Macaca fascicularis: one gene and its partners. The protein of the gene in region 4 interacts with the protein of the main gene of each other region in a biochemical or structural test. Links are inferred from orthologs where the notes say so. Each region holds a gene or a part of one and is shown on either strand. Other genes may lie near its edges. The genes, in order: PDK1, MTOR, RPS6 and RPS6KB1.

Region 1 (7,577 bases), on a different chromosome or scaffold from region 4:
TGCTTCCCATTTAAGCCACACTTATAACTATTCCATACTTGGACTAGATAGCATCTGATTATCACATATATAGCAATCATACTTCTTTTGCTTTTTTTAATCGAGATTAGATCAACTTCTCCCATACACTATAATGACTACAAAAAGAAAACTTGAATCTCCATGAATCATAACTGGGAAATGCCCTGCAGCTAAACTTCTTCCATTTAAGACTTAACTCTAGACAGCTCATTTATTTGAAGTGTATAGTGCTTAAAAGAACAACACTTTTAAAGCAATAACATTAACAAAGGCTGTATATAGGTGGCTCCATGAGTGTATACCCTTAACATCTCTACTCATCTTTGGGAATAGATCACACTTTTTCTACACAATTCCAAAAACTTCTAATTGTTTTAAAACAGAAAAATAAACGTTTTAACTTTTGTAATTTATAAAAAGATACCCTTCAGTAAATACAGTTTATTAAAAATACATATACCCTTTCATATATTTCATTGTTCTGACTATAGAATGGTATAGCAGAGATGGACAAATGGGAGTTTGAATCCCAACTCCACTATCAACGGTACTGCCTTATGCAAAAGATTTAACCTTTATGTGCCTCAGCATCCTCATCTGTAAAACAGAGTTAAACCTGCCAGGTGCAGTGGCTCATGTCTGTAATCCCAACACTTTGGGACGCCAAGGTGAGAGGACTGCTTGAGCCCTGTTCACAACCTGCCTGGGCAAAAAAGTGAGACCCCATCTCTACAAAAAATAAAAGAATTTGTCAGGTATGGTGGCACATGGCTGTGGTCCCAGCTGCTCGGGAGGCTAAGGCTGTAGGATCTCTTGAGCCCAGGAGGTCAAGACTGCAGTGAGCCATGATCACACTACTGCACTCTAGCCTGGGTGACGGAGACCCTGTCTCTAAAAAGAAAATAAATTCATTTTAAAAATAATAAACAGGCTGGGCACAATGGCTCATGCCCACAATCCCTGCACTTTGAGAGGCCCAGGTGGGCAAATCCCTTGAGCTCCGGAGTTTGAGGCCAGTCTAGGCAACATGGAAAAACCCTATCTCTGCTAAAAAATACAAAAATTAGCTGGGCGTGGCACGCGCTTGTGGTTTCAGCTACTCAGGAGGCTGAGGTGGGAGGATCACCTGAGCCAGGGAGGTGGAGGTTGCAGTGAGCTGAGCTGTGATCGCCACTGCACTCCAACCTGGGTGACAGAGTAAGAGTAAGAACCTGTCTCAAAAAAATAAGTAAACGGGCTAGGAGCGGTGGCTCACGCCTGTAATCCCAGCACTTTGGGAAGCCGAGGTGGGAGGATCACCTGAGGTCAGGAGTTTGAGACTAGCCTGGCCAATATGGTGAAACCTCTGTCTCTACTAAAAATACAAACATTAGCTGGGTGTGGTGGCAGGTGCCTGTATCCAGCTACTCTGGAGGCTGAGGCAAGAGAATTACTTGAACCCAGGAGGCAGAGGTTGCAGTGAGCCAAGATCATGCACTCCAGCCTGGGTGACAGAGCAAGACTCCATTTAAAAAAAAAAATACATAAATAAATAAAAATAACAACAATGAATAAAATGGAGAGATTCATACCTACTGTGCAAGGTTGTTAAAGGGATTAAAGGCAATATACATAAATACCTAGTCATCAACAAATTGTAGACATTTTTCTCATAATATCCTTGCAGATATACTAACATAAATCCTAAATTTAGCATCTGTATTTCAGTGCAGTTCTAATTGGTTTTCTCAAAATCAAGGAGTTGTGGAGTCCAGGATTCAGGGCACAAGCCCAAATACATTGCCCCCACCTGCCCCCAGACAAAAAAAGAATACTGCTACTACCTTAAGATTCTGGCCAGGCATGGTGGCTCATGCCTGTAATCCCAATACTTTGGGAGGCCAAGGCAGGCGGATCACAAGGTCAGGAGATCGAGATCATCCTGGCCAACATGGTGAAACCCTGTATCTACTAAAAATACAAAAATTAGCTGGGCATGGTGGCATATGCCTGTAATCCCAGTTACTCGGGAGGCTGAGGCAGGAGAATTGCCTGAACCAGTGAGCTGGAGCTTGCAGTGAGCTGAGATTGTGCCACTGCACTCCAGCCTGGCCTAAGAGCAGGACTCCCTCTCAAAAAAAAAAAAAAAAAAAAAGATTCCACTGAAGAGTAAAAAAAGCATTTGCCGTAACCTTGAATAGAGTCCACAACTCCATCAAATTGTAAACACAAGATGAGAATCTTACCAGCTTTGTACCAATTGAACGGATGGTGTTCTGAGAAGATTATCTGGAAGGAGACTTATTTCTTTCATTATATTTGCCAGTCTGACAGGCAACTCTTGCCGAAGAAACATAAATGAGGTCTTTTCACAAGCATTCACTGATCCTGAAACCAAACATGATGGGTAAAGCAGTAAGTAAAAGCCATAAGGAAACCGAAGGCAAGAGGCAGGGAGAAATGAGAGGCAGTTACCTGGCAAGGCCAGAGGGGTAGAATCACCACGATGGGGCAAGGAATAGAAGGCAAAGGTATCCCTGCCTGTGGGAGGTGAGGGATGAGATAACCCAGTCTCCAGAGTTATGACATTCCAATTACTGACATTCCAATGGCTCTGTACAGCAATTACGATAACCTTGTCTCCCTAACTTGTATCCTTATAGTGATGACCCATTTTAGAAGTGAGGTAAACTGAGCATTTCTGAGCAAGGCTTTATAAAATTAACAGCAGAACCTGGAAAAGTCTAGCCTGTACACCCTGTTGCTGCTATCATTTAGAAAATCTGTTTTTTAACTCTAGTTTTAAAAAGAGTTAATGTCTAAGAAACAGAAACTTTAAGGTGGTCTGAATGCAGTGGTATTTACGACTAATTGATTACGACCAGTTACAGATTTCTTTGTTCCTTCTCCACTCCCACTGTTTCACTTGACTAGCCTTAAAAAAATAAATTAAAAACAGGGGGCCAGGCACAGTGATTCATGCCTATAATCCCAGCACTTTGCGAGGCCGAGGCTTGAGGACTGTTTGAGCGCAGGGGTTCAAGACCAGCCTGGGCAACACAATGAGACCTCGTATTTATAAAAAATAAAAAACAGCTGGGCGTGGTTGTGCTTGCCTGTAATTCTAGCCTTGGGAAGCTCAGGCAGAAAAGTGAGGTTATAGTGACCTATGATAGCACCACTGCACTCCAGCCTGGGTGACAGAGTAAAACCCTGTCTCAATCAAAAAGAAAAGAGTAAAATTTTGATGTTTGCATATGAAGATTCACTGATTCCATATAGAACCACAAATGCTAATTACAGTAAGCAAAGAGTAAGTGGAGTCCAGGTGTGGTGGCTCACACCTATAATCACTTTGGGAGGCCAAGCTGGGAGGATGGCTTGAGCCCAGGAGTTTGAGACCAGCCTGGACAACATAGCGAGACCCCATTTCTAGTTTTAAAAAATACACACACACACACACACACACACGGGAAAAAAGAGTAAGTGCAGAGGAAAGCTTTCAAGCAACAGAAAGCAAAAACCACCACTGCCTGTTAGCACCATCTTCAAGTAGGTCCTATTCAATTGTCTGGTTACTGGAAAGTCTCCTGACCCCTCCACTCCCATATCACGATCCCATATCACTTCCTAAGCAGAATCGTTGTAGAATGTCCTTTGGCAAACAGCTCCACTTAATATTAAACTAAAAGGTCTTGCTATTCCAGTAATGCATTTTAAGCTTACTATTCTTGCTGCTTTAGCAGAGAAAACGTTAGCAAAAACTAGACTGTCAATAGTAGAAATTAAGTTATTAAAGGAAAACAGCTTGTGAAAGTTTCATGGCATACTTATGACCACCACCAAATTCGCCCCTACGTCGAACTAGTGTCATTTTAAAGTAAAAACAAAAACCTAAGGCTTTGACCCAAAAATTATGCGACTATAAACCACAGTTTTAAGACAAAGTTGTCAACCATGCAGGTATCATTCAATGCAGAAGTCACAATGCAGAAGATAACCTTTGTACTCAAATTTTATGAATTCATTAAGGTTTTCCCTTTTCCCCTCATTGCCTTGATAGGTAAGTGGGAAGTAAAAGTTAAAATGCCTAACTATGCAATTCCTTCTGCAATCTGTTTAACAGCTTATCGAGAAAACAAGGATAATCTGGTAAACTTCACAGCATCCTGTCCTCATGCACTCAACACGTGCTCAAGACTTACTTGCTGATGATGAAATGCGCTGTTGGTGCAAACAATTTATGCTACTGGCAAGGAAAACATTCTAAGAAACTCTGGGCCAGTTATAACCTGCCTTGCCTATCATCACGCCATTTCTATGCAATCAGCATATGCAAAACTGGGCATTCATCATCACTGCGCGGAATCCAAAAGCGATCCTCGGGGGTGTCCACGCTCGGCCTCCCACGCGGGCGCGCCTCCTCGGAAGGGGCCTGGCCGAGCGCGCACCTGCACACGTGCGCCGGAAGGCGGGAGGTCATTCCGCGCGGCCCAGCTGGTTTGTTTTCAACAATACGATCAAAGCCACACGCCCACCGTTATTTACGCCGTCAGCCAGCGCCGGCACTTGGAGGAAGGAAGCACCTAAGGCGCTGGGGGCGGAAACACTGAGGAGGAGGGCTGCGCCTCAGGCGAGAGCTGGCCGGCACCGACCGGGCCTGGAGCAGGGGCCGCAGCTCCCCGCCTGGGACCGCGCACAAAGGCCCGAAGTCCGGGCCGCACTCACCGAAGTCCAGGAACTGCTTCATGGAGAGCGGGGACGGTGAGAAGCGCGCGTAGAAGTCCACCTGGCCCGGAACGCCGCGCTCGGGCGCCGGGCCGGAGCCCGAGTCCGAGCTGAAGGAGCGGCTGGGGCCGGCGGCGCGCAGCCCCGGGCCCGGGACGGGCAAGGCAGCTCCGCGAAGCAGCCGCGCCAGCCTCATGCCGAGCCCCGCTAGAGAAGCCAGAGCCCGGGCGCCACGTTTCCCCGCGCCTCTGCCGAGTGGTACGTGAGGGACGTGGCGGGCAGCAGGGGAGGGGAGCGGCTGTCACCGGCGCGGCCCCCACCCCTCTCGCCGGAGCCCGGCCCCCTGCGCCGCTGGGCGGGATGCAGAGCGGGAAGGAGGCGGGGAGAGAAAAGGGGGCGGGCGCTCGCGGGGCCCGCCCCCTCGCCGGATTCCCGCCCAGCCCTGCGGGGAAGTAGATGAGGAGCGCGCGCCAGGCCGCAGCCGGCGAGGTGTGGGGTGCGCGTGGCAGTTGTTCCCGTACATTTCAGGTGACGGGACCGGGGACACTAAGAGGCGAGGCGGTGTGGAGCGTCCCCTTCCCGCGCCCTTTTGAAACAAATCCCACCTTCCTGCTTCCTCTGCCCTCCTAGTCTCGGCCAAAAGGCTCAAGGACAGGGCGGCCCTCCGCTTGCACACACCGCGGTGTCCTGCTGCGAGCGCGTTCTAAAACCGCTTCTCTGTGACGCAAGCCACACATTTCAGGGTCAGAGAGCTTCAGGAGTCCCCGCTTGCCAAACAGTGGTACGTAAATACGAATGCTGAAGAGTGGGACGTGTGGCCCTAAATAGTATCACCGAGACGGCGGCCCCAGGAGGAGAGACGTACTGCCATGTACTGGCTGTGTGCCTTTGAGTTGAGCTCTTTAACCTCTCTGAGCCTCCATCTCTTTACCTGAAAAAGGAGCGTAGTATCTGCCTCAGTTGCTCTGACATGGGTAGTAGAGCTATCTGTGTTAGCACAATGCCGGGGACATACCAGATAATAAATGGGATTTATTTTTACCATTATTGCTTTTTAAAATTATGTCCTTATTAAGATTTTATCAGAACCACTTACCTGTGTTTTCCCTGAAGCACATTTTACCAAAAGTTTGAGAGAAAACAACAGTTTTTGGCCGTTTTGTAACTATTTGACGTATTCGAGTATCAGCAGTTCTTCTCCCACACTGACTGTAGGTTTTAGAAAGTGTAACGGGTACATAGTTTTGTGAACCCCGAAAGTAAGAGACAAGTCTCGATTAATGTATAAAGTTTATCTTGGCAAAGTTGAGAACACGTCCGTCTCTATATGTAAGAAGCAGACAACTTGAAGCAGGGGGGAAGGCTTCCAGGTTATAGGTAGGTGAGACAAATGGTTGCAGTCTTGAGTTTCTAAGCCTTTCCAAAAGAGGCAATCAGATATGCATCTATCTCAGCAGAGGGATGACTTTGAATAGAATGGGAGGCAGGTTTGCCTCGAGCAGTTCCCAGCTTGAATTTTCCCTTTAGCTCAGTGATTTTGGGGCCCATGTTTTCCTTTCACATTTCGGTGAATCTTCATTCTCCTTATGTTTTTCTGGACAATCACACGTGGATACGGTATGGGACATTATTCTTTTGGCCCTGACAGCTTTGTCAAACCTGGTATCAGTGTGCACCTCTGGAGTTCCCATCTCTTTCTTGGCAAATTTCCAGATATCTTTGCTGAGTGCCCGAAGGCCACACTTCTTGAAGTCCATTTCAATGGGATGTGCTTGGGAATGTTGATGGTGTCACCACCTCATTGGTGGCTGAATGGCCCCCTTCTGCTTCCCACCCTTCTTCTGCAGTGCCCAAGTTGGAATGAAGAAAACAATTTTAAGTTGAATATTACACGTTCTTAAAACAATCCATCAAACATTTCCACAGCTCTACTCCAGCTTCTCAGGTTGCCTCCTCCTTTCTTTTCTCCTTCCTTCTAGATTATTCCCTGAGCTCCAAAGTCTTGTCACTTTATCATGCACACCATTATTCAGCTTCCTCAATCCCTGTTTGCAATTTTGCTGCTTTCTGCCTGAGCATGTCAAGATGCTCGGCTGAACATTAATTTATGTGAAAGCACAAAGGCCCAGCAGAAACTTTGAGACTATTTTAGCAAGATTTTTTCCCCCAGGAAGGAATCAACTGTTGTATAAAGTGCTTTTTCTTTTCTCCAAAGTATATTCACCATGCTTCAACCAATATATGGAGAATGTGCATATAAAAGCACATATTAAGTGATGTCAACTTTTGCTTCTTAGTCAAAGACTCTGGGTCCAGAAACTGGAGAGAACTTTTGAGGACTTTAGTAAAGAGCTATATTTTCTGTTGTTATGGTCTGAATGTGTCCCCTAAAATTCCTATGTTGAAACTTAATTATCCACGTGGTAGTATTAAGAGGTGGGGCCTTTAGGAGGGAATTAAGTCATGAGGGCAGAGCCTTATAAAAGGGCCTAAGAGGGTGAGTCTGTTTCTACCATCTCTTCTACCATGTGAATGAAACTGCCTTTGAAAAATTATAACAGTGAGAAAATTCTGACAGTGAAAGAGATCTGACCTAACCAACTCCATCTTGCTTCTCACTTCCAAGCTGCCCTTGTTTATTGATGAGCATAGGCCAAACTAACTTTGGGAGGAATTTAGTTTATATATTAACTTTGAAACAAAGATAACAGCTCCTCCATGAAACAAACCCCCAGCTTTCCTGGGGACCGGAACACCTTTGTTAAACTAACAAATTAGGCAGGGCACAATGGCTCATGCCTGTAATCCCAGCACTTTGGGAGGCCAAAGTGGGAGGATTGCATAAGTCC
Region 2 (7,044 bases), on a different chromosome or scaffold from region 4:
AATGACCAGACAGGTTGCTGTTGAGTAGAGCTTTAAATGATCTTGGATTAAAAGTCTGTGGTTCAAAAGAAACTAATAACTAGGCCAAATTTGATGAAAGTCTGGCATGTTACCCTTGTAAGTTCAGAAGACTGCTTAGCAGCAGGATACAAAGGCTCGGAGGGCCCTAGATTTCTGCTTTTGATGTGGGTGTTTGTTATTGTTGTTGCTCTCTTTTTTAAGGTTAGTCAAAGTTGTTTTATTAAATTTGCTAAAATATGCCAGTGACATTCAGCCTGGGCACCCCCTATAAGTATTCGCTTCATTGCATAAATACTATTTGTTTAAAGCTTGCAGTTTGGAAGTTATTGCTTAAACTTCTCAGTGGTATAAGCTTTAGAAATACAAAAAATACTCCCAAGACTGAACTGGAATCTCTAAAGTCAGATTTCTAATCTCTCAGGGTGTTAAATCCAGAAAAGAAAATTATGCTCTCTTGGGTTTTTTTTTGAGACAGGGTCTTGCTGTGTCTCCCAGGCTGAAGTGCAGGGATGCGGTCACAGCTCACTGCAGCCATGACCTACTGAGCTCAAGTGATCCTCTCACCTCAGCCTCCCAAGTAGGTAGGCCCACAAGCGTGAGTCTCCACACCTGGCTGATTTTTTAAATTTATTTTTTGTAGAGATGGGGGTCTCACTGTGTTGCCCAGGCTGGTCTTGAACTCCTGGGCTCAAGCAATTCTCCCGCCTCGGCCTCCCACAGTGCTTGGGATTACAGACAGCTGTGGCGCCTTGCCAAGAAATTATACTCTTGATTTTAGCCCATTTCCTGCCGAAATGCTATCCCCCTAGTTTTTCTTGTTGACTCACTCTTATTTTAGGGTTGTATCGCCTTGGTCATCTGTCTTCAAGCCCCAGCATGCCTCATTGTCATTTGACCACAAAAGCCGTGGGAGAAAACATTTCTCAGAGTAAATGCAGTCATGATATGTGCTGCTTTAGGAGTCTAATCCACTGTCTAAATGTGGTTCTGGTAGCTTTCAACACCCCTAACTTCCTAAGGGATGTGTGGTTTTCGCTTCTCTCCTACTTTATGTGTACTACTGGTGCCTATACTGGGGACCAACATCAATGGAAAAGAAGGAATAGACAAGAAGCAAGAATCAGGAAATTCCAGCTTTCAGAGGAGAAATAACACTTTAGCTTGAATTGTACGAGAATCGCCTACCCATGCACACTGGCTTATGTAAACTTAATGAAAATATACATGTGGCTTTCCAAATTACAGACTAAATCTTCTATTAAATATAACTGTCACAAAAATCTCTAGGTAATAGCAAAATGATTTCTAGGCCTAAGCTGAATGGAATGGCCTGTTTATTGCAAACAGTGTTCAGTATTACAGTCATATATTACTTAACGATGGGGATACATTCTGAGAAATGCGTCCTTAGGAGAATTTATCCTTGTATGAACATCATAGAATATATTTACATAAACCCAGGTAGCCTACTCTACACCTAGCTCTATGGTATAGCCTATTGCTCCTGGGCTACAACTTGTGCAGCATGTTACTGTAATGAATAGGCAACTGTAAAACAGTGGTAAATGTTTGTGTATCTAAACATAGACATAGAAAAGATACGCAAAAATGTACTGTATTATAATCTTATGGGACCACCATCATATATGTGGTCCATTGTTAACATAAGCATCGTTAAGTGGCGCAAGACTGTACTGTTTGTTTATTTGTTTGTTTGTTTTTCTGAGACAGAGTCTTGCTCTGTCACCCAGGCTGGAGTGCAGTGGCACAATCTTGGCTTACTGCAACCTCCACCTCCCGGGTTCAAGCGATTCTCCTGTGTCAGCCTCCCAAATAGCTGGGACTACAGGCACACGCCACCACGCCCGGCTAATTTTTTGTATTTTAGTAGAGACGGGGTTTCATCATGTTGTGCAAGCTGGTCTCAAACTCCTGAGCTCAGGCATCTACCCGCCTCGGCCTCCCAAAGTGTTGGGATTACAGGCGTGAGCCACTGTGCCCGGCCCTGTACTGGGTTTTTATTAGTTTGAGACAGGGTCTTTTTTTTTTTTTTTTTTACTGAGATGTAGTTTTGCTCTTGTTGCCCAGGCTGGAGTGGAGTGGCGTGATCTCGACTCACCGCAACCGCCGCCTTCTGGGTTCAAGTGATTCTCCTGCCTCAGCCTCCCGAGTAGCTAGGATTACAGACATGCACCCCTGTGCCCGACTAATTTTGTATTTTTAGTAGAGATGGGGTTTCTTTATGTTGGTCAGGCTGGTCTCAAACTCCTGACCTCAGGTGATCCACCCACCTTGGCATCCCAAAGTGCTGGGATTACAGGCATGAGCCACCAGCCTGGCCCTGAGACAGGGTCTTATTCTGTCGCCCAGGCTGGAGTGCATGGCTCTTGGCTCAGTGCAGCCTCAAACTCCTGGACTCAAGTGATCTTCCTCAGCCTCCTAAAGTACTGGGATTACATGTGTGAGACACTGCACCTGGCCCATGACTGTACTTCAGATTTCATTATAATGTAAAATTGTTTAGATCTTCTGTTTTTAAACAATGTTTGACATATATTTCTTAAGCAAGAGCATGTAATTCTTGTATCAAAATGTAACAGTAATGGAGACAATTACATGATACTGTTTTGGCAACCTTTTACGTGTTTTGGATTTCTTTTTTTTTTTTTCTTCTGAGACAGGGTCTTGCTTTGTCACTCAGGCTTGAGTGCAGCACTGCACATGATCACACCTCTCTGCAGCCTCAACCGTCTGGGCTCAAGCGATCCTCCTGCCTCAGCTTCCCGAGTAACTGGGATTACAGGCGTGCACCACCACACCTGGCTAATTTTTATTTTTTGTAGAGACAGGGTCTTGCTGTGTTGCCCAGGCTGTTTCGAACTCCTGGCCTCAAACAATCCTCCCTCCTTGGCCTCCCAAAGTGTTGGGATTACAGGCGTGAGCCACTGGCAACTTTCTTAATTTATTCTTAAACTGAATTGCTTTATAGGACCTTTGACTGTTGATGTATAGACCCTAACCCTGACCTGGAGCTATCTACTTTGTCTTTTCTGTACTCAGATACTCAGTACCTCCAAGATACTATGAACCATGTCCTAAGCTGTGTCAAGAAGGAGAAGGAACGTACAGCAGCCTTCCAAGCCCTGGGGCTGCTTTCTGTGGCTGTGAGGTCTGAGTTTAAGGTCTATTTGCCTCGCGTGCTGGACATCATCCGAGCGGCCCTGCCCCCAAAGGACTTCGCCCATAAGTAAGCACCTCTGTTATGATTTCACCTTCCGCTTCATTCGGTTGGAGAGGAAGGACGCTCTATCCCAGATCCACAGAGCTTAAGCCATTTTTTGCACATTCAACTCCAGGGTATAGCAAATCATATGAAGAACAGCCCTTCCTCAGTTGAATTCTAAGCTTTTCCAAATGAAATAACATATATGAACTATTTGGGGAGGTTGAATACCCTGAGAACACGTGAGATGTCAATGCTGTTTTCAGTGTTATTATTTACTGGGAATCTGCTAGTTTTGCTTTTTTCTCTGGCTTTTAAAAGTCTTATTTTGATATAAGACCTAAAGAGAGGAATCCTCTCCTGGAACTGAAGGGACCTAAGGGTCATCTTTTTCCTCATCACTGAAGTTGAATACGTTATTCCACCTCTTTAAACCTTCTGGAGAATACACTATGAGAAACTCCCTCAGCGTCCTGCCAGATGGAGTGGCCAGGGTGTCTTCGCTAAGGCGGGGGGTCAGTGTTCCTCACCCTTTGTCTCAGGGTTGTCTTTATACTTCCCTGTTTATTAGTGAAGATTGCTGTGGTGAATTAATACACCCCATTCATTCTTCTTTTTTTTTTTTTTTTTTGAGATAGAGTCTCACTTTGTTGAGTGCAGTGGCGCAATCTTGGCTCACTGCAACGTCCTCCTCTTGGGTTCAAGCGGTTCTCCTGCCTCAGCCTCCCAAGTAGCTGGGATTACAGGCATGTGCCACCACACCCAGCTAATTATTGTATTTTTTTGTAGACACAGGGTTTCACCATGTTGGCCAGGCTGGTCTCGAACTCCTGGCCTCAAGTGATCTACCCACCGTAGCCTCCCAGAGTGCTGGGATTACAGGCGTGAGCTACTGCGCCTGGCTCCATTCTAAAGCCCCGCATTCTCATCATAGAAGAATTTCTTTCCATACGATGGCTGTTTACTGCCTTCTTGTCCCTGATGAACACATTGTTCATCTCCCTTCCTACGTAAGTATCTTGGTGAGCACCACACTAATCCATATGGTACAGCTGTGTGAATTCGGAAAAAGGGCCCCTTCCTTAAGACACTTTACTGCCATCTGCTGGATTGTTGTAGAAACATACACATCTACAGTCACTGTGATGTGATGGGCCCCTTTGAACTGTGCTGTGGACGGCTTGCACGCCCATCTGCCTGAGTAACCTGTTCTCCTTGCCCCAAGGTGATTTTGAGGTGGGACATTAAAGAATGTCATTATGTCTCAACTAGCCACTGTTGGTTTCTCTGCAGGAGGCAGAAGGCAATGCAGGTGGACGCCACAGTCTTCACTTGCATCAGCATGCTGGCTCGAGCAATGGGGCCAAGCATCCAGCAGGATATCAAGGAGCTGCTGGAGCCCATGCTGGCAGTAGGACTAAGGTGGGTGTCAGAAACCTGAGGTTGCCCTATATCAATGTGCGGCTTGGCCCCCAGTGTTGGGACTGTTAAAAGAGTGAGGCGTGGTTGTTTGCACTTTCAGTTGGATGGACAGGATAGCTTAGACTAAACACATAGGCTAGTACTGAATCCTAGTTTCATCACTAGCGTGTTATGTGATCTTGACTAAGTTATTTAATTTCTCTGAGCCTCTTTTTTTTTTTTTTTGAGGAGTCTCGCTCTGTCGCCCAGGCTGGAGTGCAGTGGCGCGATCTCAGCTCACTGCAAGCTCCGCCTCCTGGGCTCACACCATTCTCCTGCCTCAGTGTCCCGAGTAGGTGGGACTACAGGCACCTGCCACCACGCCTGGCTAATTCTTTGTATTTTTGGTAGAGATGGGGTTTCACCATGTTAGCCAGGATGGTCTCAGTCTCCTGACCTTGTGATCCGCCCGCCTCGGCCTCCCAAGTGCTGGGATTACAGGTGTGAGCCTCCGTGCCCGGCCTCATTTTTTTCTTTTAATCTGAAAAGTGGGTACAATAGTAATTCGTATTGCCTAGGGTTGCTGTGGGTTCATGATATAGTCACTCTTAGCACCATGCCTGGCATATAGGAAGTACTCAATAAATATTTGCAAATATTGTATATATTATTGAGCAAGTTGCTTAAGCTTCCTAAACTAATTTCTCCTCATCTGTAAAATAAGGACAGTGTTTTAAATCTGCTTCCCAGAGTGTTTGTTGAGACTTGGTCTTCTGTAGTGGCTGAATTATAGTGAGCAAATCTTTTGTGGTGAGAACCAGAAACTCACAGATTGTTTGGATACCTGAGACTAAGCCAAGAGAGTTTACACTTTTATTCTTATTTTATAATATCCTTTCTACTCTGAAGAACAGAGGCCTGATCCGCTTGCTAGGAGAGAAAGCTATTTCTTCCCAAGAACAGACTAAGTGTCATGTGCCCAGCCCTTATGTGGCTTGTTTCCTTCCCCTCAGCCCTGCCCTCACTGCAGTGCTCTACGACCTGAGTCGTCAGATTCCACAGCTAAAGAAGGACATTCAAGATGGGCTACTGAAAATGCTGTCCCTGGTCCTTATGCACAAACCACTCCGCCACCCAGGCATGCCTAAGGGCCTGGCCCATCAGCTGGCCTCTCCTGGCCTCACAACCCTCCCTGAGGCCAGCGATGTGGGCAGCATCACTCTTGCCCTCCGAACGCTTGGCAGCTTTGAATTTGAAGGTAAGAAATTACAATGTCTCTTGGCAAGGTAGTGAGAGCTGCTGGAAACTTTGGGAAAGGAATGAAAGTATCTAGACTTCCTGGATCTTGCTGTGATCCCAGAGACAGGGTAGCTGATTCTGTAGCAGCTCATCCTTCCTAGACTCTTTCCATATATTGGTAATTCCTGTTTGTTTCTTTGTCCCATACTGAGTTTGGGGGCAGATCGTTTGAGGGAAAGTATACGTTGATCCAAGGAAATAATGCTGCAGAGACAGATCCCCCTCATGTCCCCACTTTTTCACTTCCTTGTAGCTGAGATGATATGTACTGCTTTAAAATGTATAAGCAGGGGCTTTTGGGTGTTTCCATGTCTATGGTGGTATGGTGTCTTTTCTCTTTTTTTTTTTTTTTTTTGAGACAAAGTCTCTCTGTTGCCTAGGCTGGTGTGCAGTGGCACAATATCAGCTCACTGCATCCTCCATCTCCTGAGTTCAAGCGATTCTCCAGCCACAGCCTCCTAAGTAGCTGGGACTGTAGGTGCGTGTCACCATACCCAGCTAATTTTTGTATTTTTGGTAGAGATGGAGTTTCACCATGTTGGCCAGGCTGTTCTGGAACTCCTGACCTCAAGCGATCTGCCTGCCTCGGCTTCCCAAAGTGCTAGGATTACAACCGTGAGCCACTGTGCCCGGCTGGCAGTATGATTTCTAAAAGTACTGTACTGTGTAGTTCTAAACTGCAAATAAACCCACAATAATACCCCACAGAGATATATTTCAGGAGAAGTTGATACTTTTGAAATTTAAGATCATATAGGTAGTATTGGTCAAGACTGTAGAGAAACAAGCAAGTACAGAAAGCCTGAACATGCTGTCTGGAGACAGCCACCTGTGGTTTCTCTATTGCAGTTCCTCCACTTAACATTGATTCACACTGGTGATAATTTATTTCTAGTGAATAGAAAGTAGCTATGTTTAAACCCAGCCTACATAGATTCTTTGTCTGGTATTTAAATCTGGGAACTAAAACAGGCAAGGTAAATTTGATCAAGAATTGTATTATCCTCTAAGAATGTAAGGGGTTGAGTTGGAATAAAGCAAAATAATTTATTATTTGAACGGAATATAAAAAGGCTAGGATTGGGGCATACCTTTGATCT
Region 3 (7,628 bases), on a different chromosome or scaffold from region 4:
CTGGTGTAGTGGCTGATACCTGTAATCCCAGCATCTTGGGAGGCCAAGGCAGGAGGATCATTTGAGGTCAGGAGTTTGAGACCATCCTGGCCAACATGGTGAAACCCCATCTCTACTAAAAATACAAAATTTAGCCGGGCATGGTGGCACACACCTGTAATCCCAGCAGCTACTCAGGCTGAAGTGGGAGAATCGCTTGAACCTGGGAAGCAGAGGTTGCAGTGAGCCGACATTGTGCCACTGCACTCCAGCCTGGGCAACACAGGAAGACTCCGTCTCAAAAAAAAAAAAAAAAAAAAGGCAAAGAACCCTTGTGTACTGTTGGTGGGATTGTAAATTGGTACAGTCACATGTAAAAGAGTATAGAGGTTCCTCAAAAAATTAAAAATAGAACTACTACATGATCCAGCAGTCCCACTTCTGGATATCCCAAATAATTGAAAACAGGGTCTGTCTCTAAGATATATTTGCACACCTATGTTCATATCAGCATTATTTACAGTAGCCAAGAGGTGGAAACAACCAAAATGTCCAATGACAGATGAACGGTTAAACAAAATGTAGTATCTACATGCAACAGAGTATTATTCAGCCTTAAAAGCGAAGGAAATCCTGTCACATGCTATAACACGGATGAACCTTGAGACCATTATGTTAAATGACATAAGCCAGTCACAAAAAGACAACTACCGTTTGATTCCATTTATATGAGATACTTAGTCAAAATCATAGAGACAGAAAGTAGAATGGTTACCAAAAGCTGTGGGTAGGGGGAAAGGAGTTACTTAATGAGTATGAAGTTCCCGTTTTGCAAGATGAAAAAGTTCTGGAGATCTATTTTACAACAATGTTAATATATTTAACATTACTGAAGTGTACACTTCAAAATGGTGTCAGGGTTTGAAGACAGGGTGTCATTATGTTTGCCCGGGCTGATCTCAAACTCCTGGCCTCAGGAGATCCTCCCATCTCAGCGTCCTAAAGCATTTGGATTACCAGTGTGAGCCACTGAGTTTGGCCACCCTAAAATATTTTTAAAGGGAAAAACAAACAAAAAAACCTAGCCCGTGGTTCTAGACTTTGTCTTTGCCTCACATTAATTTACTCCCACTACTTCAATAAAAATAATTAGGGCGAAAAAAACAGGGAGAGTTAAGAGCTTATACAGACATTTCTCTAAAGAAGATATACAAATGGCCAACAAACACATTAAAACATGCTCAACATCATTAGTCATTAGGGAAATGCAAATCGAAACCACTATGAGTCGCAGCTACTCCAGAGGCTGAGGCAGGAGGATGCTGCAGGCCAAGAGTTCCAGACCAACAGGATCTCGCTTTGACCCTGTCTCTACAATACATTTTTTAAAAATTAAAAAAAAAAAAAAAAAAGTGTTGGCCATGATTTTGATAAACTGCGGCCCTCATACATTGCTGGTGGGAATGTAAAATGGTCCAGCTGCTGTGAAATAGTTTCCGTTTCTCCCTGAGAATAAAATTACTGTATGACCCAGCAATTTCACTCTTAGGTATATACCTAAAATAACTGAAAACAAGTACTCATACATAGAAGAACTATTTACAATAGTTAAAAGGTAGAAACAACCCATATGTCTATTAATGGATGAATGGATAAACAAATTGCAGTCTATACCTACACTAGCATATTGAGCCATAAAAGGGATGACATACTGATACATGCTACGACTCAAAAGATTAGTAAGACAGACACAAACGGTCAATATTGTATGATTCCATTTTTGTGAAATAGGCACATCCACTGAGACAGGACACAGATTGGTGGTTGCCAGGGCCTGGTGGAAATGGGGAAGGGGGAGCAACCGCTTAACGGGGCACAGCGTTTTCTTTTAGGATGATGAAAATGTTTTGGAACTGTATCGATAGAGAGGCTGGTTGTACAGCATTGTGAATGTACTAAATGCCACTGAATTGTTCACTTTAAAAATGACTGGTTGTGTCAATTTCACCTTAACAAAAAAATTACATACAGTACTCAGATTTTAAAAAGCATCATTTCACCAAGATTCCACGAATTAATGTGAGATGATCAAAGCGGATTCAGTAGAGTCGTTCAACTTCGAACGTGAAACAGTCCTAAACTCAAACCTGTGTGACACTAAAGTGGGAAGATGGTATGTGATAATTTTAGAAAGTAAACATTATTCTTGTTTACTTGATTTGGAACTCGAACTTTTATTATTTTGAGGCGGAGTCTCCCTCTGTCGCCTAGGCTGCAGTGCAGTGGTGCGATATGGGCTCACTGCAACCTCCGCCTCTCGGGCTCAAGCGATTGTCGTGCCTCAGCCTCCCTAGTAGCTGGAACTACAGTCGCCCCCCCCCACCACGCGCGGCTAATTTATATATTTTTATTAGAGACGGAGTTTCGCCATGTTGGCCAGGCTGGTCTCGAACTCCTGACCTAAAATAATCCGCCCGCCTCAGCCTCCCAAAATGTTGGGATTACAGGCGTGAGCCACCCAGCTCCAAAACCCAGGGAGCGTGGAAAAGACAAGACAGGGAAGGGGCTAACCCTCAGAATTACACGCGGGCTCGCCTTACCAGACCACCACTGCTGGCATAACCTCACACCCACTGGCAACCAACTTCACCTCCCAGACCCTGATTCAACTCAACCCCGGAAGTGCCGCCCACCCGTGCTTACTTCCGCTGTCCCGTACTTCTGCTCATCTCGCGAGAACTGAAAGCGCCTATGAGACTTGCGCTAAGCGGAAGTTGGTCCTCTTTTCCGTGGCGCCTCGGAGGCGTTCAGCTGCTTCAACATGAAGGTAGGTGGTGGTGGCGAGTGTTAGACTGGTTTGGGGAACGTGAATCGAGTCCCAGAACGCGGCATTGCCTCATTTCCAGCACTGCAAGATCCTGGCTTTAGGTGGAGAAGGGTCTCAAGTAGGAGAAGGCTCGCTTTTCTGGGGCATGGAGCTTTTTGGCCGAGCGGATGGCAGGCGATTGCGGCTGGAGCCGCGGCGGGCCGGGAGCGCCATGGTGGCGTCCCGGCGTGTTGCCCAGTTTGCGGCAGGCCTGTGGTGCGGCTCTTGACCCCGGCTTTCTTGCTTCGGGAGGGTGAACAGCTGCGGAGCGCCCTCGCCCCCAGAGTCATTCTGCGGGGCTTGAGGGGAACACGTCCTCCTGAGTGCGGCGCTTCTTGACTGCTACTGTGCTTTCACGTGCTTTTAGTGAGTACGGTCGGCATCTCATATTTCCTGCTTGTGTGGAGGCAACATGAAAGGCTTTTTGCAGTGGAATTAACTTTGTGGATGGCTCTACAATTACCTGTGTAGGTAGTTTCGTAAACTATTTCCCTCCCTTTTAATCCTTAGCTGAACATCTCCTTCCCAGCCACTGGCTGCCAGAAACTCATTGAAGTGGACGATGAACGCAAACTTCGTACTTTTTATGAGAAGCGTATGGCCACAGAAGTTGCTGCTGACGCTCTGGGTGAAGAATGGAAGGTAAAAGTTAACAATCAAATTGTTGCAGCTATTGAAGTCAGACGGTAAACGCCATTGGTAATTGGTATTTGGAATGGGGTTCAGACTGCGGGTTCTGGCTTCTGACCTTTGGTAAGTTGCTTCCGAATGCCACTTTATGAAGTTGAGCTGTTACCTTGGAGGGGAGACATAGAGTAAGCCGTAAAATATACGTAAAGTTTACATCAACGTAATTCTTGCCATGCATCATGCATTCGGCAGATGTCACATAGCTGTCCTCATAATCTCCAAAGTGCGAAGACGCATTGTATCTGATTTGTTTGTTGCTCTTTGATATTTTATCTTCCTAGTGCTGTTATTTCTAATAAAACATCGGTTAGAAATGCGACTTGAATGAAAGACATCTGATAATTGAACTTGATAAGTTGGGAATGTAGACAAAACTTACTGATCAGAGAAAACGTGCTTAAGTTTTAAGTTTAAATTGGTTTTCATAATGAATTATACTTTCTCATATAGGTGTGGTTCACAGAGGTCACAATCCTGTATTGTATAATTTTGGAATAGAAATAGTAAATGTGTCATTCATTGTATGCTCTTGCAGGGTTATGTGGTCCGAATCAGTGGTGGGAACGACAAACAAGGTTTCCCCATGAAGCAGGGTGTCTTGACCCATGGCCGTGTCCGCCTGCTACTGAGTAAGGGGCATTCCTGTTACAGACCAAGGAGAACGGGAGAAAGAAAGAGAAAATCAGTTCGTGGTTGCATTGTGGATGCCAATCTGAGCGTTCTCAACTTGGTTATTGTAAAAAAAGGTGAGGGTTACTTGTGTTCAATTTTCATTGAAATTGATGTAAAGCCAGTTGTCCAAATGCTTATTCATTTGCAGTATCCAATGGATTTGTTTCTTTACCATCAATTCAACATTAAATATTCTGATTTAGGATTCTTAAGGAAGTTGTTGAATTAAAATCTTTTCAATTGTGTCTTCTAAGGAGAGAAGGATATTCCTGGACTGACTGATACTACAGTTCCTCGCCGCCTGGGCCCCAAAAGAGCTAGCAGAATCCGCAAACTTTTCAATCTCTCTAAAGAAGATGACGTCCGCCAGTATGTTGTAAGAAAGCCCTTAAACAAAGAAGGTAGGAGGGATTATGCAATTAGGGCTTGCTTAATTTTGGTGATTTGTCAATATCATTTTGTGTGCATATGAGAAGATAAAAATGTGCCTTTGGAGCCTTAGCATTCTTCACCTGGAGTCTGAATTTTTACAAAAAATATGTGGGGGTGGCCAGCATACCCACTTGGTATTAATCCTTGCTTATTATATCCAGTGCCTTGTAGAGTGCAGTAATTTCCTTGAAAATCTGCCTGTGAATCTTTGATGTATACATTTATCCAAAACTAACCTGACTTTAAGGTCATTGCTATCTGGTTTAGGAGTCACATGCTTGAGAATTCTGGAACTATTATCTCACCACCACACACTTTGTAATTTTACATCAGATGTTCTAAATTATTACTGTTAATATTTTTTAAGAGATGAGGTCACACTGTGTTGCCCACGCTGGTCTAGAACCCTTGAACTCAAGTGATCCTCCCACCTTGGCCTCCCAAAGTGCTGGGATTACAGGCCACCACACCCAACCCTAAATTATTTTTTGGCTTACTAAAGAAGTTGCTTTAAACTTTTGTTTCATCTGTAGGATATGGATAACAATTGTTAAGAGTTGTAAGAATTAGAAGTTAGAGACCTTAGAATACTAGGAAGTGGGAGTTAGGGATTTTGGAGCTTTACCTTTTAAGAACTTGTGTCAATATATTAGACAACATACCAGTGAGGACCTCAAATGACAGTATTTCTGTAGTGAAATTTGGGAATGTTTATGTTAAATAGAATAAACAGCATGTCAGTCAAGGTTGGGTTTTCCTGACAAAATCTGAAAGAATTTCTCTGGATTTTGTTTTTTCAGGACTGGTGTGACTTAACACCTGTACATGGCATATATAGTACATGTTTGTTAAGTCAGTAATTACAATTATTTGAGCACCAGGTACTGTTCAAGGTGCTGAGAATACAGTATAGACAAATTCCTACCCTAATGAAGCTGACATTGCAAAAAAAAAAAAAAGAAAAGCAATTGACAAATAGGTGGCAGTTGCCGATAATCACAGCCCTGGAAATAATCAGAATAATAAAAGCGTGGTGTGGTTGATGGGTATTTTTAGATGGTTCCTGTGTTTATAGTAGGAGTCTGAAATATTAGCAGAACCTGAACATCTGAGCATTTAGCCTAAGGCAATTAAACTCCCACGAGTGTTCATGAAACAGCCTGTGCTCCAATGCAAATCTACAGTCTGAGCAGTTTTGGAGTACAGATCAGATTAATGAAGATACTTTAACAACATGTCACATAATCTGATGTTAATTGTTACGTTACCCCTGAATTGGCAGGAATTGTCAAGGGAAATAGAGATGCAAGCTTACATCAAACTTACACTTAAAAGTATGGCAGGATGATTATGTAAATACTATGTTAAGTGGTTTTCACAGACAAATTGACTATGCAGAGTTATATTTTAACATAATGCCACTGTATTTTAGTAAAACTGGAAGGTAGTAAAGGTTAGCTTGGTTATTTTTCAGCACTTGGTTTCCCTTATATTTTTATATTTAACCCATCTTCTAGATTTCTGTGGAGGAGCAAAAAGTATTTTAAAATACTTCTGATTTGATTTTAAAGGCCTCAATACAGGTTTTCATAGATGCTGTTGATGAAGCTTACGTTCATTTCTGATGTTTTTAAAGTAGATGTGGATTCTAACAAAACAGTTGAAATGATTGAGTCCTTTGAATTTTTAGGTAAGAAACCTAGGACCAAAGCACCCAAGATTCAGCGTCTTGTTACTCCACGTGTCCTGCAGCACAAACGGCGGCGTATTGCTCTGAAGAAGCAGCGTACTAAGAAAAACAAGGAAGAGGCTGCAGAATATGCTAAACTTTTGGCCAAAAGAATGAAGGTTAGTGTAAGATGATTTGAAGGGGTGGGAGGAGTTCGACCTGGCTTTGGATTTGCATCTTTACCCCAGAAAGGCCTTAACTATATGCTGTTTTTTGTTTTGTTTAGGAGGCTAAGGAGAAGCGCCAGGAACAAATTGCAAAGAGACGCAGACTTTCCTCTCTGCGAGCTTCTACTTCTAAGTCTGAATCCAGTCAGAAATAAGATTTTTTGAGTAACAAATAAATAAGATCAGACTCGGATCTCTGTTGACTTTTCATTGCTTGACAGAAAACTACATAAATGAAGAGAGGGAAAGTTGGTCATAGAAAATGGGGATATGTATATGGTAATCCAATGGTGGATATAATCAGACCTATTGTGTGGTAGTGGAAGACAAGGTCAATGTAAAGGGGTTCTTTTTGGGGGATGGGTAGCACAGGAAGGGATTCTGAGCATAAGACATCTGCCTCTTCAGAATGGCATTGAACTTAGGGGAAATGATGAGGACTATTAATCTTTTTCATATAGTTTATTTTGAGGAATATAGCTCTTTAAAACACTATACACAATTTAATACATGAAAATTGACTGTGTGAAGATGAACATGTCTTTTTTGAAGAAAAGGTAACTTTTAAGCCATAGTTTTAGTGGATACCATCTTAAAATGAAGTTTTTTAAACCATTTCAAATTTGCTTTAACAGAGTTTTTCAACTCCAGTGAATTGTTAGGCTGTTTCACACACTGAAAAGGAAATGACTAAAAACATTCTTGGATCAGTGAAAAATGCACAAAGCATGTATTTTTTTCTAATAGTTTCTATTCTAACTATCCTGACAGTATCAGGATCTTTACAAGAAGGCACATTAGGCTTTAAGGTTGAAGCAATGCAAGCTCTTTGTTGGAACTACTGTAATAGCTTTATAAAGCAGAGTACTAAATGTTAAATGTACATGTTAATCACCTAGGGGTCTGGTTAAGGCGCAGATAGAGGAGTGGGGACCCACATTTTCACATTACTAAAAAGCTCCCAGGTGTGAGGCCAGTAATGCCAGTCCCTGGATGCCTGCTACATGGTGTTAAAAAGCTACATAACATGAATCTTAGCTGGTGATTAGTAGTATGCAGAACTTAAAAGGCAAAGGGGATCGCCAGGTGGGGA
Region 4 (7,044 bases):
ACTTTGGGAAGCCGAGACGGGCGGATCACGAGGTCAGGAGATCGAGACCAGCCTGGTTAACGTCTCTACTAAAAAAATACAAAAAACTAGCTGGGCGAGGTGGCGGGCGCCTGTAGTCCCAACTACTCCGGAGGCTGAGGCAGGAGAATGGCGTAGACCTGGGAGGCGGAGCTTGCAGTGAGCTGAGATCTGGCCACTACACTCCAGCCTGGGCGACAGAGCGAGACTCTGTCTCAAAAAAATAAAAAAATAAAAAAATAAAGTTAGCATGGAATGCAAAAGTTGTGTATAGTATAGTTTGAGTAAACAACACTGAATAGTAATAGTCCTATAAATTAGTAATATAGAGCACATAGGCAAAAATACAATCTTACAGTATTAATTACATAAGAGATAAAAGATGAGTGAGTACATGCATGGTTTTAAATTCAAGTTTGATGGTGCATGATCAAAGTTACGGCATCTCTGTTAGTAAAATCTTAGGTTCAGTTAGGGAAGTGGGCATGAATCACTTTAATTTTGGCTTTTTTTTTTTTCTCTCATGTACTACAGATGTGGAATTTATACCTTTGATTTAAAATAGAGACCTTTTCCTCAATTGGACATTGCAGAATTTCAACTTATGTGACAGTTTTTCACCCACAAAATAGAAGCATTTTATTTAGCTACCAAGAAATCCAAAGTTGTGGCGGTAAAAGTGAGATATTGAAGCTTTCATTGCCAATTACGGTATTATTGAGCTTTTCATAATTACTTAAATTGGCTAACTGATGAACAGAACAATTCATTTGTTAGGTTGTAGCCAGAATTCTGTACATAAAGTAGATCTCTTTAAACATTAATAAAAAAATAGGCTGGGCGCAGTGGGTCACGCCTATAATCCCAGCACTTTGGGAGGCTGAGGTGGGTGGATGACAATGTCAGGAGTTCCAGACCAGCCTGGCCAAATGGTGAAAACCCGTCTCTACTAAAAAGACAAAAATTAACCAGGCGTGGTGGCTGTAGTCCCAGCTACTGGGAAGGCTGAGGCAGGAGAATCGCTTGAACCTGGGAGGTGGAGGTTACAGTGAGCCAAGGTCATGCCCCTCACTGCACTCCAGCCTGGGCGACAGAGCAAGACTCCATCTCAAAAAAAAAAAAATATATATATATATATATACACACACACACACACACACATATACACACACACACACATATATATACACACACATATATATAGTGATATCCCACTTATCTGGATAATGTGGTTCTAGCAACCTCATTTCAACAAATATTCAATTCCTGTTGTAAGACTCCATCACATAATTAGAGGAAATTCAAAGATGATTAAGGCACAGCCTGTACCTCATGATAGTTACAGCTTTAGTTCACTAGAACGTTTGTAAAGTTATTTTTTGAAGTTCACATATAACTGTCACAATTCATATGCACTTCAGAATTGCACCTCACTCTTTGGGCCTTCACTCAGAGCTTTGTTGAGTCTTATTTATTGTAACACATAATGCTTACTCATAGATTTTGATAAATAGAAGATAGGTGAAGACGGTTAAAAGAATGAACATTGACAGCTAGAGAAATGACAGCTGGTAGCCTAATAGTAAGGTCCAAGAGAGAACTAAAATGAACAGAACTGCATTTTTGCCTATTACAACTGAAAGGTTTTGAAATGTTGATACTTATTCATCAAGAAAATACCAAATTCTAGCTGGGCAGAGATCACACATGCCTATATAGTCCCAGCTACTTGAGGGGCTGAGGTGGGAGAATAGCTTGGCTCCAGGAGTTTGAGGCTGCAGTGAGCTACGATATCACCACTGCACTCCAGCCTGGGCAATATAGGGATACCCCATCTCTTAAAACAAAACACAAATTCTGTCTAATCATTGGCATAAAACCAGAAAGATCACAAGATCTGACTTTGATGCTAAGTCAGAAAATTGTTTTTACTTTGGCCTAATTATGAGAAACTGTTTTGGGGTGATAAACTTAATTGCTTACATGCCTGTGGCTAGAAACACTAGAAGTTTCTTTATATTTCTCCTAGTATTTAACATCTTTTTTTTTTTTTTTTAATTTTTGAGATGGAGTCTTGCTCTGTTGCCCAGGCTAGAATGCAGTGTTGCGATCTCTGCTCACTGCAACCTCTGCCTCTCAGGTTCAAGTGATCCTCTTGCCTCAGCCTCCCAGGTAGCTGGGATTATAGGCGTGCACCACCATGCATGGCTAATTTTTGTATTTTTAGTAGAGACGGTGTTTCCCCACATTGGCCAGGCTGGTTTGAACTCCTGACCTCAGGTAGTCTGCCCGCCTTGGCCTCCCAAAGTGCTGGGATGACAGGCGTGACCCACTGTGCCTGGCCGTATTTAACATCTTCATATGGAGCCTGAATTTTCCTGTTTTTTTTTTCTGTTCCTGTCAGTAGGGTGGAATTTTGTTTGCTAGCAATCAGGCTCAATAGAATTCTGTTCTTGAAGTGTGTGCCTCACAAAATGGCTGGAAGGAAGTTAACAGGTCTAAAAATGAGGTTGAGGATGTGGGAGAGTGTACACATTGGTGGCTTTAGGTGTGCATCATTGTGTAGGTATGTCAGACTGAACAACCCCATTTTCTTGAGATATATGGCAAAACGCCATTCTGTAGTCCACTGTTACTGTCTTTCAGGGTTTTACATATGTGGCTCCATCTGTACTTGAAAGTGTAAAAGAAAAGTTTTCCTTTGAACCAAAAATCCGATCACCTCGAAGATTTATTGGCAGCCCACGAACACCTGTCAGGTATTTCACACTCTTATTTTCACTTTTTTTTTTTTTTATTACAACCTATGAGTGAGAGTGTTTGCTTAAGAAATTTATGCCAAGTTACATAAATGAAGGACTGTCATGGTCTCTTTGGTTGACATAAGCACAACATCTGTATCTCACATTGCAAAGGACTAGTCTGACTAATCTGTGATGTTATATGGTTTACCTTCCCTCCTGAAAGTAAGCAGCCACACTGGCAAATGTTTCTCTTTATCCATTCACTCAGCATTTATTGTGCACCAAGAGCACCAGCACTGCATGCTGCATGTTCTGTGTGTGTGTGTGTATAGTACTATAATACAGTAATTGTCCCTGTCCTGATGAGGCTTACAATGTAGTGGGAGAGTCACAATAGACAAAGGATATACAAAAATATAAGTAGTGCTAAGTGCTATAATTTAAAAGGGGGGGGGAAAGGAATGTAGTGGTAGACAGCAGAGGAAAAACAAGGGGGCTTCTACTCACAGTGGTCAGAGAAAGGCCTCCCTGGTGTAGTAACATCTAGCAGTGAACAGAAAGAGCCAGCCCTACAAAAATAGAAGGTTTAAGAATGTTGCAGGCAGAAGAACAGCAAATGCAAAAGCCCTGAGGGAGGAGAAAAGTTGTCCTTTTCCTGGAAATGAGATCATTGTTCCTGGAGTGTGTGGTGAGTGAGGAGGAGAAGGGCAGAGGTTTGGAAAAGGATTTTATTTTAAATGCAGTAGAAAGCTGTTTTGAGCAGGGGAGAGTAAAATGATATATATATATAATATGTATTTATATATCATTGAGGGGTTTGGGGGTCAGGTGTAGAGGTAGAGACTGGTTAGGAAATTCTAGCAGTTAATCTAGGCGGGCGAGAGATGGTTCAACTTTTGCCTTTGTGCTAATCCACATGCAAATAAAATTAAACGAAAATAAATGTCATATTACCCCACTCCCTTTAAATGTAAAGGAAATATGTCTTGTTGAGATGACCCTTAAACAAATGAATGATAGCTCTTCCTTGTCTTAAAGCCCAGTCAAATTTTCTCCTGGGGATTTCTGGGGAAGAGGTGCTTCGGCCAGCACAGCAAATCCTCAGACACCTGTGGAATACCCAATGGAAACAAGTGGCATAGAGCAGATGGATGTGACAATGAGTGGGGAAGCATCGGCACCACTTCCAATACGACAGCCGAACTCTGGGCCATACAAAAAACAAGCTTTTCCCATGATCTCCAAACGGCCAGAGCACCTGCGTATGAATCTATGACAGAGCAATGCTTTTAATGAATTTAAGGCAAACAAGGTGGAGAGGGCGATGTGTGAGCATCCTGCAAAGTGAAACAAGACTCAAAATGACAGTTTCAGAGAGTCAGTGTCATTACATAGAACACTTTGGACAGAGGAAAAATAAACATGGATTTTAAAAAATCAATCAATGGTGCAAAAAAAAAAAAAAAACTTAAAGCAAAATAGTATTGCTGAACTCTTAGGCACATCAAGTAATTGATTCCTCGCGACATCTTCTCAACCTTATCAAGGATTTTCATGTTGATGACTCGAAACTGACAGTATTAAGGGTAGGATGTTGCTTCTGAATCACTGTTGAGTTCTGATTGTGTCAAAGAAGGGTTATCCTTTCATTAGGCAAAGTACAAAATTGCCTATAATACTTGCAACTAAGGACAAATTAGCATGCAAGCTTGGTCAAACTTTTTCCAGCAACTTGGAATCAAAGACAAAAGAAACTTACCAATTGATGTTTTACGTGCAAACAACCTGAATCTTTTTTTTATATAAATATATATTTTTCAAATAGATTTTTGATTCAGCTCATTATGAAAAACATCCCAAACTTTAAAATGCGAAATTATTGGTTGGTGTGAAGAAAGCCAGACAACTTCTGTTTCTTCTCTTGGTGAAATAATAAAATGCAAATGAATCATTGTTAACCACAGCTGTGGCTCGTTTGAGGGATTGGGGTGGACCTGGGGTTTATTTTCAGTAACCCAGCTGCAATACCTGTCTGTAATATGAGAAAACAAAAAAGAATCTATTTAATCATTTCTACTTGCAGTACTGCTATGTGCTAAGCTTAACTGGAAGCCTTGGAATGGGCATAAGTTGTATGTCCTACATTTCATCATTGTCCCGGGCCTGCATTGCACTGGAAAAAAAATCGCCACCTGTTCTTATACCAGTATTTGGTTCAAGACGCCAAATGTGCTCAGCCTTTGGCTGAAGAACAACAAAAGAGAGTCAGGATAAAAAATACATACTGCGGTCGGCAAGGTGAGGGAGATAGGGATATCCAGGGGAAGAGGGTGTTGCTGTGGCCCACTCTCTGTCTAATCTCTTTACAGCAAATTGGTAAGATTTTCAGTTTTACTTCTTTCTACTGTTTCTGCTGTCTACTTTCCTTATATTTTTTCCTCAACAGTTTTAAAAAGAAAAAAAGGTCTATTTTTTTTTCTCCTATACTGGGGCTACATTTTTTGATTGTAAAAATATTTGATGGCCTTTTGATGAATGTCTTCCACAGTAAATAAGAAAACTTAGTGACTTAATTTAGGAAACATGTTAACAGGACACTATGTTTTTGAAATTGTAACAAAATCTACATAAATGATTTACAGGTACAAAGAATAAAAATAAAGGTAACTTTACCTTTCTTAAATATTTCCTGCCTTAAAGAGAGCATTTCCATGACTTTAGCTGGTGAAAGGGTTTAATATCTGCAGAGCTTTATAAAAATATATTTCAGTGCATACTGGTATAATAGATAATCATGCAGTTGCAGTTGAGTTCTATCACCTGTTTTTCTTTGTCTTTTATAATGTCTTCAGTCTGAGTGTGCAAAGTCAATTTGTAGTATTTTGCAACCCTAGGATTTTTTTAAATAGATGCTGCTTGCTATGTTTTCAAACCTTTTTGAGCCATAGGATCCAAGCCATAAAATTCTTTATGCATGTTGAATTCAGTCAGAAAAGAGCAAGGCTTTGCTTTTTGAAATTGCAACCCAAATGAGATGGGATGAAATCCTATGACAGTAAGCAAAAACAGAACCATGAAAAATGATTGGAAATATACCTTTTCAATTGTGGCAATAATTGAAAGAATAGATAAAAGCTCATCTTTGGACAGAAAGCCTTTTTTAAAAAAATCACTCCCTCTTACCCCTCCTCCCTTATTGCAGCAGCCTACTGAGAACTTTATGACTGTTGCTGGTAAATTAGAAGCTACAATAATAATTAAGGGCAGAAATTATACTTTAAAGTGCAGATCCTTGTTCTCTGACAATTTGTGATATCTGAAAAAACAGAACCCGAAAAGCTATGGTGATATGTACAGGCATTATTTCAGACTGTAAATGGCTTGTGATACTCTTAATACTTGTTTTCAAATATGTTTACTAACTGTAGTGTTGACTGCCTGACCAAATTCCAGTGAAACTTATACACCAAAATATTCCTCCTAGGTCCTATTTGCTAGTAACATGAGCACTGTGATTGGTTGGCTATAACCACCCCAGTTAAACCATTTTCATAATTAGTAGTGCCAGCAATAGTGGCAAACACTGCAACTTTTCTGCATAAAAAGCATTAATTGCACAGCTACCATCCACACAAATATATAGTTTTTCTGACTTCACATTTATTAAGTGAAATTTATTTCCCATGCTGTGGAAAGTTTATTGAGAACTTGTTTCATAAATGGATATCCCTACTATGACTGTGAAAACATGTCAAGTGTCACATTAGTGTCACAGACAGAAAGCACACACCTATGCAATATGGCTTATCTATATTTATTTGTAAAATTCCAAGCATAGTTTAAAATATGATGTCGATATTACTAGTCTTGAGTTTCTAAGAGGGTTCTTTATGATTATACCAGGTAAGTGTATAAAAGAGATTAAGTGCTTTTTTTTCATCACTTGATTATTTTCTTTAAAATCAGCTATTACAGGATATTTTTTTATTTTATACATGCTGTTTTTTAATTAAAATATAATCACTGAATTGAAGTTTACTAATTTGATTTTATAAGGTTTGTAGCATTACAGAGTAACTAAACTGGGATTTATAAACCAGCTGTGATTAACAATGTAAAGTATTAATTATTGAACTTTGAACCAGATTTTTAGGAAAATTACGTTCCTTTTTCCCCTTTTATGGTCTTAACTAATTTGAATCCTTCAAGAAGGATTTTTCCATACTATTTTTTGAGATAGAAGATAATTTGAGGGGAGGGGTGGAGGATGCATGTATGATAT

The links.
Region 1: the proteins of RPS6KB1 (region 4) and PDK1 form a complex in vitro, tested with the Homo sapiens proteins (2 studies listed by BioGRID and IntAct, with this or other methods). The link is inferred for Macaca fascicularis from reciprocal best matches to the Homo sapiens genes RPS6KB1 and PDK1.
Region 2: of the proteins of RPS6KB1 (region 4) and MTOR, one has a biochemical effect on the other in vitro, tested with the Homo sapiens proteins (18 studies listed by BioGRID and IntAct, with this or other methods). The link is inferred for Macaca fascicularis from reciprocal best matches to the Homo sapiens genes RPS6KB1 and MTOR.
Region 3: of the proteins of RPS6KB1 (region 4) and RPS6, one has a biochemical effect on the other in vitro, tested with the Homo sapiens proteins (4 studies listed by BioGRID). The link is inferred for Macaca fascicularis from reciprocal best matches to the Homo sapiens genes RPS6KB1 and RPS6.

Annotation. Positions count from the first base shown.
Region 1 is NC_088386.1:68,100,892-68,108,468, reverse strand, and holds the start of PDK1 (pyruvate dehydrogenase (acetyl-transferring) kinase isozyme 1, mitochondrial), read right to left. Parts: upstream 5,056-7,577; 5' UTR 4,925-5,055; coding exon 4,729-4,924; exon of another isoform or gene 4,612-4,728; intron 4,585-4,611; exon of another isoform or gene 4,206-4,584; intron 2,389-4,205; coding exon 2,247-2,388; intron 1-2,246. UniProt on the Homo sapiens protein: Kinase that plays a key role in regulation of glucose and fatty acid metabolism and homeostasis via phosphorylation of the pyruvate dehydrogenase subunits PDHA1 and PDHA2.
Region 2 is NC_088375.1:223,562,965-223,570,008, forward strand, and holds part of MTOR (serine/threonine-protein kinase mTOR), read left to right. Parts: intron 1-3,081; coding exon 3,082-3,268; intron 3,269-4,537; coding exon 4,538-4,666; intron 4,667-5,658; coding exon 5,659-5,903; intron 5,904-7,044. UniProt on the Homo sapiens protein: Serine/threonine protein kinase which is a central regulator of cellular metabolism, growth and survival in response to hormones, growth factors, nutrients, energy and stress signals.
Region 3 is NC_088389.1:79,494,067-79,501,694, forward strand, and holds RPS6 (small ribosomal subunit protein eS6), read left to right. Parts: upstream 1-2,759; 5' UTR 2,760-2,800; coding exon 2,801-2,806; intron 2,807-3,355; coding exon 3,356-3,487; intron 3,488-4,070; coding exon 4,071-4,281; intron 4,282-4,461; coding exon 4,462-4,608; intron 4,609-6,329; coding exon 6,330-6,487; intron 6,488-6,594; coding exon 6,595-6,690; 3' UTR 6,691-6,728; downstream 6,729-7,628. UniProt on the Homo sapiens protein: Component of the 40S small ribosomal subunit. Plays an important role in controlling cell growth and proliferation through the selective translation of particular classes of mRNA.
Region 4 is NC_088390.1:46,750,548-46,757,591, reverse strand, and holds the end of RPS6KB1 (ribosomal protein S6 kinase beta-1), read left to right. Parts: intron 1-552; coding exon of another isoform or gene 553-573; exon of another isoform or gene 574-1,152; intron 1,153-2,664; coding exon 2,665-2,777; intron 2,778-3,800; coding exon 3,801-4,038; 3' UTR 4,039-5,445; downstream 5,446-7,044. UniProt on the Homo sapiens protein: Serine/threonine-protein kinase that acts downstream of mTOR signaling in response to growth factors and nutrients to promote cell proliferation, cell growth and cell cycle progression.